2 linked regions of the Astyanax mexicanus genome follow. The protein of the gene in region 1 purifies or fractionates together with the protein of each later gene. This does not show direct contact. Links are inferred from orthologs where the notes say so. Each region holds a gene or a part of one and is shown on either strand. Other genes may lie near its edges.

Region 1 (7,584 bases):
AACCTACTTTTGCAAACTAGTCCTAGGAATTTTGACCAATCCTGGTATGTTTGGTATCAAAACACTCGTGAGAGCATGCGCTTCAATATTCATTAAGAAAAAGTTGAAATATGTAAACAATATGGCCGCCATATGCAAATTAGTCCTTCCGGATATATGCCCCATTCACTTCAAGAGGTAAATTTGGAGCACTGTTTCTCAGCAACCGTGCAACCTAGCAAGTTGAAACTTTGCATGCAGAATCTATCATACAGCCTCTAAAGGATGTTCAAAGGGCAACTTAATCAATCAACATGGCTGAACACCATCAGCCAATCAGCATTCAGCAGACATTTTGGCAGGCTGAATGTTGCCCAATCTGGATGATATTTGGCAGTTATGTTCAGGTGGAGACACTGTAGTGACCTGCAAAGTGCTGAAACAATCCGCCCACTGGGGGGCGCTGTTCCAAAAAAACGAGTATATGTCAATCATGCTGTACTATTTTGACATCTAATTGTTTTTGCCATATTTAGTACAGTGGCTCTGACAAATTTCTCAATACAACTATGTTTAAAAAGTGCTTTGTTCATTCATAATTGCTAATTGTTTGAAAATAGCTATATTGAAACTACTCTCTGGATATTTGGCCTATCACCTCCATTTCAGTCTTGCTGCACACTGTAGAGTCTCTAGGTAAATGTTCATTAAAAACATTTGTGAAAATTTCACATACAATACTCTCCAGGCATCAAGCAATCTGTTGTGCTAGTTGGTGCTTGATGAAGCGCCATTTAATTCAGAACTAGATTTATAATAACTTCGTAATTACGTCATATCAGAACATTCACTCCTTTGTGTTAATTTAAACTTGTTTGGTCAAACATTTCAGCTTGTTCTGCAAAGGTTCAAAGGTCAATCTGAATACCACTTTGTGAACATTCTGGTTGAAGCCACCTGATCAATACCAATAACATGTAGACACCTTTTGACTAGTTCTAACTCACTTAATGAATATCCTACAAAGTTCACTAGATTTACATGTGAATTTAAGCACTGATCAGGTTGAAAGGCCTCTGCTCAACATTAATAACAGGTGAAAAACTTGATAATTTCTAAATGTGACAGGGCATCTCCAATCATATTAGACCTTCTTACACATCACCATTCAATGCTCCAGTAGGCACCATTGTGCAAGTTGGTGCTTGAACCCGATGATTGCCGCTTGCGGCTATATTTTCTGTTATGTTATCAGTCTATTACAAATAGTTTTATAATAAGGCCTGAGCTCTTATTATACATAATTATATAATTGGAACATCTGCTTCAGGTGGCAGACTTTTTTCCTGAAAAGCAAACAGTCCAAATATGAACACATTGCTGTCAACAGACAATAAAACAATGAGGCACGCTGTCAGACACCTCCACTTCAGGTAGTTTTGAAAAGAAAAAAAAAAAATCAATAATATAGATTATGTACTTTTTCAACAACTATGCTCTGAAAACCCCCAAAAATCTTATTTTAATTAAGTCCTGATTAAACAAACATGGTAACACATGCTGGATAAATACATACATAAACAGAGACACACACAAATTTGACCATATTTATATAAATGTTTTACATATCATGTATAAAAATATATGACAGTAATTACAGTAATGACAGTTTTAAATAAAATTAATTGGCAAAACTATTGCACCACTTGTTAATCAGGTAAAGAGTTAAAGAGTTGTGCTACATGCACTTTGCACTGTGAACACTGCGGTGGTAAGAATTTCATAAGAACTTTGGTCCTAAAATGGGTCACACCAATGCCTTTCGAAGTAAATGTGTGTGGGTGAGTAAAGATACGCAGCAAAATGAGAAGCAAAACCACAAAAACAGATAAAAGGATAGGGGAAACTTTATTTTAGCACTTGAAGTTCACTAAGAACACACTCTCCTTCAGAAAGGAGGGGGTTGAGTGACAGCTCGCTAATTGTAATAATGCCAATGAGGAAATGCGGCCCAAGCATAAAGAGGACTGATGCTTAAATATAAGCCTGATGTTTCTAAACCTGTTATTCCACTAACCAAAAAGAAAGAAACACACAATCAACCAGAATCAATGGTGTACGGTGTAATCTGGGGAGCGGTGTGATGAATCAAGGGAATGGTGTAATTAATCAAGTAAACGATGTGATAAATCAGGTAACGGTGCAGTAAATCAGGGAAACAGTGTGATTAATCAGGGGAATGGTGTGGTAAATCAAGGGAACGGTGCGATAAATCAGAGAAACAGTGTGATTAATCAGGAAAATGGTGTGATAAATAAAGGGAACAGTGTGATAACTCAGGGGAACGGTGCATTAAATCAGGGAACTGTATAATATATCAAGGAAATGGTGCAATAAATCAGGTAACTGAGTAATAAATTAAGAAAATGGTGCAATAAATCAAAGTATGGAGTGATAAATCAAGGGAACAGTGTGATAAATTAAGGGAACGGTGTGATAAATCAAGGGAACGGTGTGATAAATCAAAGGAACGGTGTGATAAATCAAAGGAACGGTGAATAATCAAGGGAACGGTGTGATAAATCAAGGGAACGGTGTGATAAATCAGGGGAATGGTGTAATAAATAAAAAGAACCGTGTGATAAATCAAGGGAACGTTTTTGTTTCTAAACATTATTTTTCCACCTTCATCCAATAGGGGCTCCATAGATTCCAATTTCACATTTATTTACCATTTCCTTTTTCATTATTCCTATAAAGGGTCTCTATAAGGAGGCAACCCCTGTCCCTTATTTATCAAATCATATAAATTCTTCATTTTTTTATGCGCTTTAATCCACGATATTAACCATAAACCCTGCTGGGCCCTCTGTCCTCCCACTGCTGTGGGGCTACAGGCCTCTGCACAGAACTGACAGCTCTCCCACAACATGCTAAAGAGCTAACGTGACCTAAATTAAACCCTCTTGCTGCTGTTCTGATATAAATAAGGGGATGATATGATCATGTCTGGGTTAAAGTGTTACTAAACTGAGCCTGCTGCTGGTTGTTTTGTTCGCTCAGAGCTCAGGCCTGACAGTGAGAGCAGCGGGGCTGTTAGCCTGGTTAGCAGCTGCGCTGTTTTTTATTACCGGGCAGAATTCAGTCTTTTTGAAAGGATCCTCTCTCTGAACTCCTCAGAACACACTCTGAAACCCTGTCTGATACAGGGCCGTGCGGCGCGCGGGGCGGGTTAGCTGAGACAGATGTGATTTCGACGCAGATTATTCCTAAACCTGCAGCTAACCCCGAGCTCTGAGCAGCGCAGCGCCTCACACATAACAACAACACCGAGACAGCCGCTCTCACTCACACACACTGTGTAAACACACAAGACACTAAACACACTGTTTAAACGCGCTGTATCACAGTAACTGTCCGCTCACACCTCCACCACCTTAACCGCCCCTCTCACCTTTAGTTGTCGGACCCCCGCAGTGAGCCGTTAGCTGTAGCCCTGCTGCTCATGAAAACAAGCCGCACAGGCCGGAGCAGCCGAGCACCGAGCGGAGGATCTGACAGCGCCGAGCCCAGAGTCATCGATGGAGGAGGCTGTAGAGCTGATCTCTGTATTTTCTCTGATTTTACACTCAGTTTATTGCGTTTCACATCACTGTTTATACAGTCCTGGAAAAAAATAAGAGATCAATTCAGTTTCTGAATCAGTTTCTCTGATTTTGCTATTTATAGGTATATGTTTGATTAAAATGAATATTGCTGTTTTATTCTATAAACTACAGACAACATTTCTTCCAAATTCCAAATACAAATATTGTCATTTTAACAATATTAGGTGTGGGAACAAAATAATAAAGTCCTCGCCATATAAGTTGCCCCCATGACTCAATTACCTAATTCCCACGCTTTAATAGGTCGTCCCTATGACTCTATTATCTAGTTGCAGCGCATTAATAAGTCGTCCCTTCAACTTAATCATCTTGTTCCAACGCTTTAATAAGCTTGTTTAATAATTCTATTTTCCCCACTATGAGGAGCACTTAAAATCCTTTAACTTTTTTTAATTCATTAATTTCCCCAGTTGTCCCCACAACTTAATTATTTCGTGGCAATTTGTTTTGTACACAATGTCACCTTACTGGCTCTGTACCTTAGGCACGTTAACACAAAATTAATGTTTATTGATTAATTTTAGCTATTAATAAAAATCTTTCTATGGATGTCAGTATAAAAAGTATTTGTTCAGGTTTTGTCCTGTCTTTGTTTCGATTGATCATCAAATTTCCACATAATTTAAAGAACATCTTAAAACTGGCTTTTATTTGCACAAGTAAACAAGTACTTAAATATTAGATTTGTTTTAATACCATTGCCATTTTAAAATGACAGCATGCAATTAAAACTGGAGTTAGCAGAGGATGGTTTCAATCCATCGACCTTTGGGTTTACACCCCAAATGGGACCCGATCTCACAATCCCTAGCTTAGGAGGCTTGCCTTGTGCTTTGGCTCAACCTAAACTGTGTCAGCAATAGATACTTGTTTCAAAAAGATTCAAATTGCTTCCCACGCTGCATGCAATTAAAACTGGACTTAGCAGAGGATGGTTTCGATCCATCGACCTCTGGGTTATAGGCCCAGCACGCTTCCGCTGCGCCACTTTCAAATCTACAAAATAAAAAAATGACTTATTTACCCATATTATCACATCCTTGTCCTGTCTCTTGTCAGCCTCCATGTTTTTGTTCCCCTCCTTTGTTTGTTGTCCCAGCCATGTGCTCATAGCACTCTGTGTCTCTCCTTGTATCCGCCCATGTCTTCAGTGCTCCCACCTGTGTTCATTTGTAGTTCCGCCCCCTCATTACCTGTTTCCAGGTGTTTCCTGTATTCCCCATGTGTATTTAAGCCCCTTTGTTTTCAGTGTTGGGTTGTCTGGTCTTGTGCATGTTCTATGTCAGTCAGATTGCTGATTCTTTGTTTTTTTCTGTTTTTAGTTTATTCTGTGTTTTCTCTAGTAGTCCTGTCTGTTCATGTATCTTGTTTTGAGTTTAGTTTTGGTTTATTGTTTGTTTTCTTGTAAATAAAGTACCTGCGTTAACGTCCTCCCTGCTGCAATACCTGACACATATATACATATATACAAAATAACCAGAGGCTTGACATTGCTCACCACATTAATGTATAAACCCTAGTAGCTATATTTTTTTTTACCAGTAAATAAGATGTTAGCTCCAATTTTTACTTTCATTTTTAACTGCTCTCTCAGACTGTGTATAGTTCCCAAATGCTTTAAGAACGCTATCATTATTCCCATGCCTAAAACTAACAAAATCTCTCATCTTAATGATTATAGACCAATTGCTCTCACATCTGTTGTTATGAAATCTTTTGAACAGATTGTACTCTCATACCTGAAAGAACTCTCTTCTCCTTCCATGGACAGTTATCAGTTTGCATACCGGGCCAATAGATCTGTTGATGATACAGTCAACCTGGCCCTTCATAGGATTATGCAACATCTGGAATCCCCTAATACATATGCTCGGATATTGTTCATTGACTTTAGTTCGGCCTTTAATACTATTAATCCCGTCAATCTTTTCAATAAACTTAGGGATATGGACATTGATATTGCTCTATGTTACTGGATCCACAATTTTTTGTCAAAAAGAACGCAGAGAGTCAGGATGGGTAACCTCTCTTCCCAAACTCTAACCCTTAGTACAGGAGCCCCCCAGGGCTGTGTTCTTTCACCGTGGTTATTCTCACTCTACACAAACACCCTCACATCTACCCACAGTTCAGTTTCTATTCTCAAATATGCAGATGACACAACAATAATTGGTCTTATCACCAACAATAACGAACATCACTATCGTGAACAGGTTGCCCAAGCAGTCACTTGGTGCCAAAATAACAATTTACAGCTTAACATATTAAAAACTCTGATTTTTCTCGCACACCCATATACAAAATACCCATCTCTATTTTTTCGCAACCCATTATCATCACTGATTCATTCAAATTTCTGGGAACCCATATCAGCAACACACTTAAATGGAAACTACACTCACACCAACTCTACAAAAAAGCCAATAAAAGGCTATTCTTTCTCAGACAACTAAAAAAATTCGGAGTTAGGAAAAATATCCTTCTTCAGTTTTACACTGCCATCATTCAAAGCATACTCACCTCATCCATAACAGTGTGGTATGGGAATTTGGATACCCATTCACGCAAAAAACTGCAAAGTATAGTAGATAAATCATCAAAAATCACAGGGCACATCCTCCCATCCATTGACACTTTATATTACAGACGCATCACACAACGAGCAATAAAAATCACCTCAGACCCCTCCCATCCTGCATATCATCTATTTACACTTATGCCTTCTGGAAGACGTTACAGGTCACTGTCAACCAAATCTGTCAGATTTAAAAATAGTTTTTTCCCAACCGCTGTACGTTTACTAAACCAGGTTTAACTGTTTATGTATGTATTTGTCTATTCACTGTTGTTTGTTGTTTTGATACAGACAGAGATGTGAGCATGTTATGTTATGCTGTACCGTAAGTAAATTCCACCAACTTGTTGTGTGGTCATTAATAATAAATGAAATGAAAATGAAATGAAATGTTGCTAGTAATTAGGGTAAACTTTTCCATGTATACCATAATGCAATGCGGTGGGGCGGTGTCAGACTTCCAGCACAAACTAAGACTCTTTGTTGTTCGGTCATTCCCTAGTCTGTTCCATATGTAGTAAATGCTATATAGTAAATAGTGAATAAGGTAACAAGTGAACCATATGGGATTAAGGTCTGGAGACTGGCCACTCAGTGACCTTAATGTGCTTCTTTTTGAGACACTTCTTTGTTGCCTTGGCTGTATGTTTTGGGTCATTGTCTTGCTGTAAGACCCAGCCATGACCCATTTTTAATGTCCTGGCAGAGGGAAGTAGGTTATCACTTAGGATTTTATGGTACATGGCTCCGTCCGTTCTCCCACTGATGCGATGAAGTATCTGTGCCTGTGCGCTTAGCAAAGAAACACCCCCAAAACATAATAATAAGGTGTTTATTGGCAAACTTCAGATGGGCCTGCACATGTGCCTTCTGGAGCAGGGAGAGCTTGTGGGCACTGCAGTATTTTAATCCATTACGGCGTAATGTGTTACAATGGTTTTCTTTGTGACTGTGGTCCCAGCTGCCTTGAGATCATTAACAAGTTTCCCAGTGTAGTTTAAGGTTGATCTCTCACCTTCCTCATGATCAAGAATACCCCACAAGGTGAGATTTTGCATGGAGAGTTTGTTTAGATTAAAACAATAACACAATGGTGGTAGCATCATGCTCTGATGTTATGTTTCTGCCAGTGGAGCTGGTACCTAGTACAAAAAGAATGGAATAATGAAAAGCGAGAACAACCTCATAATTCTTTAGCATTAGCCTCCAACCATAAGCTAGATGTTATTCCTTGGACAGAACTGGGTGTTCTAACAGAACAATGACCACAAACATATATCAATCAAAGGTGGATGTGGAATGAATAAAGCAAACTAACAATAAGTTTTAAAAATCTGAAAACATGCAGACTGTGCCCAAAAT
Region 2 (8,098 bases), on another chromosome or scaffold:
ATGATTTAGCAAGGATTCTATATTTGAGCTGCTTGTGGAGTGTTAGGCCTGTTATGATAGTTATGATAAAGTATGTAAATTACCTCAAGCGTTTTTGCTGACCTCCAAATTGCCTCCATTGTGCTTACTTGTAGTTTTTTTTCATGTCAGAATGGAGATTAGTTATGTTTAGCTAGTTGCACTGGCTAAAATAAGCAGCATTTAAAATATACTGTGAACTTTTTTTTGCAAGCAATACAAATTCCCAAATAGCATGCATTTACCAAACTATTATTAATTAAAAGTTAGGCTGTGTATTGGCAAGAATATGATATGCACCATGATACAAAGGTGATATATTGTGATCTTTTTATCAAATTTTAGGGAAAAAATGTTGGGACTTAAACACAACACGAAATGAACCACTGTCTGCCACCAATTTTTACATCAACAAACTGTGATATGCTGCGATATTGAGGTTTTCTTACAACCCTACTGATAGCTATTGTATATTCTCCGCAAAAAATAATGAGTTAATCGTGACAGGCCTAAGGACGCGTCTAAGGTTCTGCCAAATGTTTCCTAATGAAAAAGGAAAGCAGGATGAGCACAGGACGAGGCTGGGCTGGGCTAAAAAGAGGAGCAGGCCAGGAGGAGCTGGGTGCCTTTTAGCAAGCTCATTCACTCAAAAAGGCCTCAACTCATGATTCATGAATGTGGGCTCTTTATTCGTTAAAGGCCAAAGCTCTTTTGAGGCAGAATAGATGCAGGGCGAGATCAGCATCGTTCAGCGTGTTAGAAGAGGAGATGCTGCTGCTGCTGCTGCCTGTAGTAGCCTTCACCCCCTCCTCTGTCTCTGTCTCTCTCTCTCTCTTCTGTCCCCTCCCTCCCTCCCTCCCTCCATCCCTCCCTCCCTCCATCCCCTCCCCCACCACCACCACCACCACCTCTGCAGAGTGAACACGGTGAGCGCTGCATTTGCCACTCATCATATTTTTTACGCCCTCGACCACCAAACCGGGAACCAGGTGCACTCTGTGCTTTTCACCGGCGTCGACATACAGCGAGCTATCATTATTAAATCAGCAGCCGCCCACCATGAGGCCTGACGGAGGCCATTTGTGCAGTCTAGCCTGTGTGATTCAGTGCCATCCTGCATGGCTGCATTATTAACGTTAGCTACACCTTTAGGTTAGATAGCTAACAATTAGCTAGCTAGCAAGCAAGCTAGAGCATCACCCTGTGTCTATAATGAGCCAACATTTAGCTAAGTTAGCTAGCCTAGCTGACCAACTAGCTAGCATTAGCTAGCTACAAATCACGTGTCAGTGTGTTAGATATTGAGTTTGTATGAATGATAATGGGAATGAATGACATTCTGATATTTTGTTGCCTGATGTAGCTTGTAAATATTTTAGATATTGTAATAATCTAATATTTATACACGAATTTTCATCATATTTCTCTATAAGTCACACTGAGTGATACAGGTCACGTTTTCTGGCTGTTTTAGGCTAAATGCAAAAATAGAGATTTTGATGTAAAAAACTAAATGTTTTTATGTAGTGCAGTATACAAGAAATAAGTTTTCATCCATTTTTCCAATTTTAGTTTTCTTTTTTTTTCTGATTTTTCAGTTTTTGCATTTTGCAAGTTGGATTATACCATCAGATTTGTGTTGTAAGATACAAAACTGGACAAATCTGAAAACGAGAGAAGATTCAACTTTTCATTTTTCTCAAAGTTCTGTTTGCGAAAGGCTGAAATTTAAAACGAGATAATTTAAAAAAGTGGATAAAAACACATTTTGTCTTCACTATACTGAATGGAAAAACTATTAAGCAACAATTAAGTTTTATACCCAATTTTCTATTTTCAAATTTAGCTAGACACGGTCGGAAAATTTAACTGATATGTTGTACTGACTGATCTCATGATATGACTGAATAAATACTAGCTAACGCTCTGGTATATTGAAGATTGCAGTGAAATACATTTTATAATATATAATATATAATCTGCCTCTGGGAAAAGCTAGTATGATATATTGTGATACTCTGATATTTCATTTTTTTAAGATTTTAATCATATTTCTCCATAAGTCATGAGTAATGCAGTTATAACGTTTTATGATATGATTGAATGAATACTAGCTAATGCTCTCTGTTTATTGAAAATTACAGTAAAAATGAATGGTATTTGCCTCTGTTAAAAAGCTAGTATAAAATATCCAACATAGTAAGATAGCTCTATATCATATAACATACACACTTTACTTTTGTAGCTATCAATTAACTTGTGTGCATGTTCTGTATGGTTTAGCTAATTTGCCTTATGTGACATTGCACGTCCTGAGATGTGACTACCGCGCATGCGCACATTGATGCGATGCTGATGCTGAAACGATATATTGTGCAGCCCTCTTCTATGGATATTGTAGCTGCTAGCTAACTACCTAGCTGGATCTATAGCAGACTATAGTATTCCCCCATGTGTGAATGAATGGTAACCAAAAATGAATATATTTCAATGAGCCCAAATCTGTTACCTACGAATTCCTCATCGTCATCCTCATCCTCTTCGTTCTCCGAGTCGATCTGCATGGCCTCCTCGATGAAGTTGACGGCTTTCCCTGCTCGCACGGCCGAGTTTTGCTCATTGCCAAACGCGCCCCCCCTGCTCTCGTTCTCCTTCAGCTGGGTGAAATACTGCAGGGCGAACTCCAACAGATCCCGGGGTTGATTCCTCAGCACCTCCACGGTAAAGCTCTGCAAAAGCTCCGTCAACCCCTCGGGGATTTCTATACTCATTCCTGATACCAGGGCTCCGGAGAAAGCGGTGCAAAACTGCAGTAGTACCGGGGATCACAACCGTCTTGGCAACGTCAGCTGAAATGAACGGTGACCTGCGCTGGATGAACTGGAAACTCAGCCAAAAAAACCAGCAAACACACACATACGAGCAGAGGATCTCTCACAACTCCATGGCAGAGACTTCCATCCGTACTGACAGCGTCCCTAATTTTGAGGCACGAAAATGGCAGAAAATTCAACAGCTCGCATCTTTTTGCTGCTGGCTACAGGAAACGCGCCGTTTATTTATTTAATTGTTTAATTTCGCTTTCCGCCCGCTTCCCCACAAGCCCCGCCCCCTCTGCACCGACTGGCTATTAGCTTATACCCCCGCCCTCGCGAGCCCCTTGCCCACCGCGATTGAGCGCCAGCATGAGTCCCCAACCAATCGTAGCACAGCAGTAGCACAGTGGGCGTGGCCTTCTCCAAAACGGGTGTGTGAAAAAAGAGAATAACGCACAGCAAACCCACGCATGTGACCTGAGAAACCATGGCAACCACCATCCGTGGCTTGCGTATGCAGCAGAAGCAGAGGAAGAGGAGCTCTGTATGGCAACTACCGTGAATCCAATTCAGCTCTCAAAACCTACGAGTTCCTTTAATTATGATCTGCTACAAAGACTGGAGCTGTTGCTGCTGCTGCTGCTGCTGCTGCTGTACATGCACCACCTTATACAAAGCAGTCTGGCCTGTGCATTAAAGTCTCACCTATAGAGAATATGCAGCATTTTAGGGCCTGGAGGAATGTGCACTACACGGCCATTCATGGCCTGAAGTAAAATGTACTATACAGCAGTTCAGTGTCTGGAGGAATATGGACTATATAGTATTTCATAAGAAGTATAGAAATATGGACTGTATATATAACAGTTTGGCACCAGGAGTAATAGGGACACAGTTTAAAGCCTTGTGGAATATGGAGTATATATCAGTTTAAAGTCTGGAGGAATATGGACTATATAGCAGTTTAGAGTCTGGAGGAATATGGACTATATAGCAGTTTAGATTCTGGAGGAATATGAACTCTATAGCAGTTTGAAGTTTATGTCCAATATGGACTAAATAGCAGTTTAGAGTCTGGTCCAATATAGACTATATAGCAGTTTAGAATCTGGTGAAATATGGACTATATAGCAGTTTAGAGTCTGGTGAAATATGGACTATATAGCAGTTTAAGGTCTGTGGGATATGGACTATATTGCACTTTATAACCTGGAGAAATATGGGCTATATAGCAGTTTATCGTCTGGTGCAATATGGACTATATAGCAGTTTAGTGTCTGGTGACACATGGACTAAATAGCAGTTTAAAGTCTGGTGGAATATGGACTTCATAGCAGTTCAGAACCTGGAGGAATATTGACTATATAGTAGTGTAGTGTCTGGTGGAATATGGACTATATAGCAGTTTGAATTCGAGTTCAATATAGACTATATAGCAGTTTAGAGTCTGGTGGAATATGGACTATATATCAGTTTAGAGTCTGGTGGACTATGGACTATATAGCAGTTAAGAGTCTGGTGGAATATGGACTATATAGCAGTTTAGTGTCTGGTGAAATATGGACTATATAGCAGTTTAGTGTCTGGTGAAATATGGACTATATAGCAGTTTAGTGTCTGGTGAAATATGGACTATATAGCAGTTTAGTGTATGGTGGAATGTGAACAATAAAGCTGTAAACAACCAGCAGGGGCATTAACTATATACAAGTATTAGGCTGGAATATTGACTGTATAGCAGTTTGGATCATGGAAAGATGTGTAATGTGGACAAATATGACTGTATAGTACTTTATATCCTAGAGGAATGTGCACTATACAACAGTTTAGATCCTGAAGTAGAATGTACTTTACAGCAATTTAGGGCGTATGGATATGGGTTATACAATCATTTAGAGACAGTGAGAATATGGACTATATAGCAGTTTAGATCCTGAAAGGAATATGAATTGTACATATAGCAGTTTAGATCCTGGATGAATGTAAACCATATAGTGGCTTATACCCTGTAGAACTATGGGTTACATAGTTGTTTAGGACCTGAAGGAATATGTGCTATATACAGTTTAGATCCTGGAGGAATATGGACTATACAGCCATGGTCTGAAATGAATATGTAGATTGCAGCCTGGAGGGTTATGGACTATACAGCAGTTTAGTGTCTAGATAAAATGACCTAAATAGCAGTTTAGATCCTGAACTAGAGAAATGTAGACTATATACATACCTGTCAAGTTTTAGATTTAAAAATAAGGGATATTTTCCTCTGTCCGCATAAAGTCGTCCCACCAGCCCAACGAAGGTTCAGTATCCCTTACATTTTAAGACACATGTGAACCACTTACACACTACAATTAGATTATCAGAATCTGAAATGTTGTGGACATTCCTACATATTTCGTTCTTTTAATACAGCCAAATAAAAAATCCTTTTCTAGATATTAAAAAAAGTTAAGATTTCATGTCTTTTTTGCCATAAATGCACTCTTTTAGATTGTATATCTATTTATTTATTTAATAGATTTAAAATTGAACAAAGGGTGCACAAATTCTGCAAAATGACTGTTATACACCTTCTAAGATGTTGGATGGATTCTAGGAAACTTGGTCTTCACGGTGGATCTGGATGGTGGCTATTGCTGGAATTTTATACTGATTTTAATCACAATTTGTTTTTATTAACATAATCAAGTCAAACGTGTAGGCCTGGGTATGGAAACTGAAGGCCTATTTGTCTGGATGTAATCTATTTTTGGAGATTTTGGAAGGATTCTAGGAAGTAAGGCCTACTGCTGCATGGTGACTATTGTTGAATTTTATATTGGTTTTAATTCAATTTGTTTTTTTTAAATACTCAATTAAGTCAAAACCTTGCAGGCCTGGGTATGGAATTTGAATGCCAATATGCCTGGATGTAATCTATTTTTGGAGATTTTGGATGGATTCTAGGAAACAAGGCCTACTTCTGCATGGAGACCATTGCTGATCTTTACACTGTTTTTTTAACACTGTTTCTGGGACAATGGCTCAGTTTGATTATAGCACTGAAAATTATTTTCTAAAAAGCTTAAGGAAATCTGCTACACCCTTGCCCTCGGATGTTAAGTCTATACTTAAGTATCTGGGAATACTGAGACTAAGATCTCGCCCTAGGGGTAAGAAAGCTGGAAAGAATGTTATTCGACCAATAAAGTCAATTGTGGGGAACCGTCCAAACGACTGTGTAACCGTAATTGGCACCAAGCCGGAGCTGACTTGTCAAAAATTGGTTACATCTACTGGATTCTCTCACCCTAGGAACTTAGTCCACATAAAAATGGCTCATAGTAACCCAAAGCCATCTTTGCCTGGATTTCTTCTATCTAATGTGCGCTCACTGCGCCACAAATGTGACGAGTTGTATACGGTATCAGTAAACAACAATTCAGCTGTTGTTGCTGTATCTGAAACTTGGTTGAATCCTGACATTCCAGACTCTATTATCACTTTGCCTGGATATACTTTACATCGGCGGGATAGGGAGAGCAGTAGGGGAGGGGGGGTAGCCCTGTATGCTAGGAGTGACATCTTACAGAAGAGATTGTCTCACTTGGAGGAAGAGGAGTTTGAAGCCTTATGGGTCTGGATGCGACCTAGGCGTCTACCTCGAGGGCTAAATTGCATCATTGCTGCAGTGTTATATATTCCACCTCACTCTTCAACATCTGCAAAACCAGATTCGTTGATTACATCATATCTTGATCGTTGTCTTGGGAATATTGAATGCCAATATCAGAATGCTGCAGTTGTCATTCTTGGGGACACTAACAGGTATAGGTCCGAAACCATCTGTGTCAGACATGGATTGAAGCAAGTGGTGGCTGGGGCAACAAGGAAGGCCAGCCAGCTTGATGCAATTTTTACCAACATTCCTTCCATGTATGATCTACCAGTGCACTTGCCCCCAGTTGGCACTTCTGACCATCAAACCATCTTGTGGAATGCTGGTGAATGGCCCTCTCAGCCCACGCAGTCCATCATATGCCGTAAACGTACTCCTGAGGCATTGAGGCAGTTGGGCCTTCTCATGAACACTACTGATTTCTCTCCCATTTTTGAGGCCTCAGACCCAGAGGTAAAGGTTAAAGCTTTTTCCTCCATGATTTCCTCTATTCTGGATACAGCTGTCCCACTAAAGAAGGTGGCGATTACTAATAAAGACAAGCCGTGGATGACCGTGCAAATTAAACATCTGATAAAAAAGAGACAGTTTGAGTTTTGCTCTGGAAATAAAACTGCTTATAGAAATCTACAATCAGTCATCGTAAAAAAGATCAAGACAGCAAAGCAGGAGTACTACAAGAAAGAGGTGGAGGAACTGCGGTTTTCCAGTTCTAAACAGTGGTTCAAATCTATTTCAGCACTAATGGGAAAAGAGAATTCTAAGCAGGCTATAATATCACAAGATCCCGAGTCTTTGCAGCAGGAATGTGATATTTTGGTCAACCACTTCACGTCAGTATGGGACCAAGTGGCTCATACTACTCCCTCTGAGGAGGATATTTCCAACAAACTCTTGAATGGCTCCATACCCTTTCTGAGTATTGGTCAGGTCAAAGGTAGACTCCGTAGAGTCAAAGGGGGAAAGGCAGCTGGACCTGACGGTATACCCTCTTGGGTTTTAAAGTCCTTTCATGAAGAATTGGCACCGGTGCTGTGTGATATATTCAATGCATGTATCCAACACAATACATTTCCTAAGCCATGGAAAGAAGCACTGGTCAAAGCTGTGCCTAAAAAAGCTAGGCCTAGCTTTCCAGTTGACTATCGTCAGATATCCTTAGTCAGCTGTGTTGGCAAAGTATATGAAGGAATTCTGAGAGATGTCCTTTTGGAGGACACAGCTTCTAAAATTGCCTCTTCCCAGCATGGTTTCATGACAAAAAGATCAACTGTGACTGCTCTGATTCAGATTCTGCAAAGCTGGCATGAAGCACTTAACAACCAACCTAAGATGGATGTTCATGCTGTGTTTGTTGATTTCTCACGTGCATTTGATACCATAAAGCACTGTCAACTGCTACAGTTACTTGCTAATATGGCTATCAGACGCCCCCTTTGGCTCACTGTGAGGAGTTATCTGACTGACAGAGTGCAGAGGATTCAGTGGGGTTCTTGTATATCTGAGCCCTATGCAATACCTTCTGGTGTCCCACAAGGGGGTCTGTTATCTCCATTGCTCTTTGTTATTTGTATCAACAGCCTGGATTCTCGTCTACCTACTT

The links.
Region 2: the proteins of akap11 (region 1) and cAMP-dependent protein kinase type II-beta regulatory subunit purify together in Homo sapiens (affinity purification with mass spectrometry; 3 studies listed by BioGRID and IntAct, counting the BioPlex papers as one, with this or other methods). This does not show direct contact. The link is inferred for Astyanax mexicanus from reciprocal best matches to the Homo sapiens genes AKAP11 and PRKAR2B.

What each region holds. Positions count from the first base shown.
Region 1 is NC_064418.1:28,087,208-28,094,791, reverse strand, and holds the start of akap11 (A-kinase anchor protein 11), read right to left. Parts: upstream 3,538-7,584; 5' UTR 3,434-3,537; intron 1-3,433. UniProt on the Homo sapiens protein: Binds to type II regulatory subunits of protein kinase A and anchors/targets them.
Region 2 is NC_064409.1:59,203,658-59,211,755, reverse strand, and holds the start of cAMP-dependent protein kinase type II-beta regulatory subunit, read right to left. Parts: upstream 3,093-8,098; 5' UTR 2,790-3,092; coding exon 2,528-2,789; intron 1-2,527. UniProt on the Homo sapiens protein: Regulatory subunit of the cAMP-dependent protein kinases involved in cAMP signaling in cells. Type II regulatory chains mediate membrane association by binding to anchoring proteins, including the MAP2 kinase.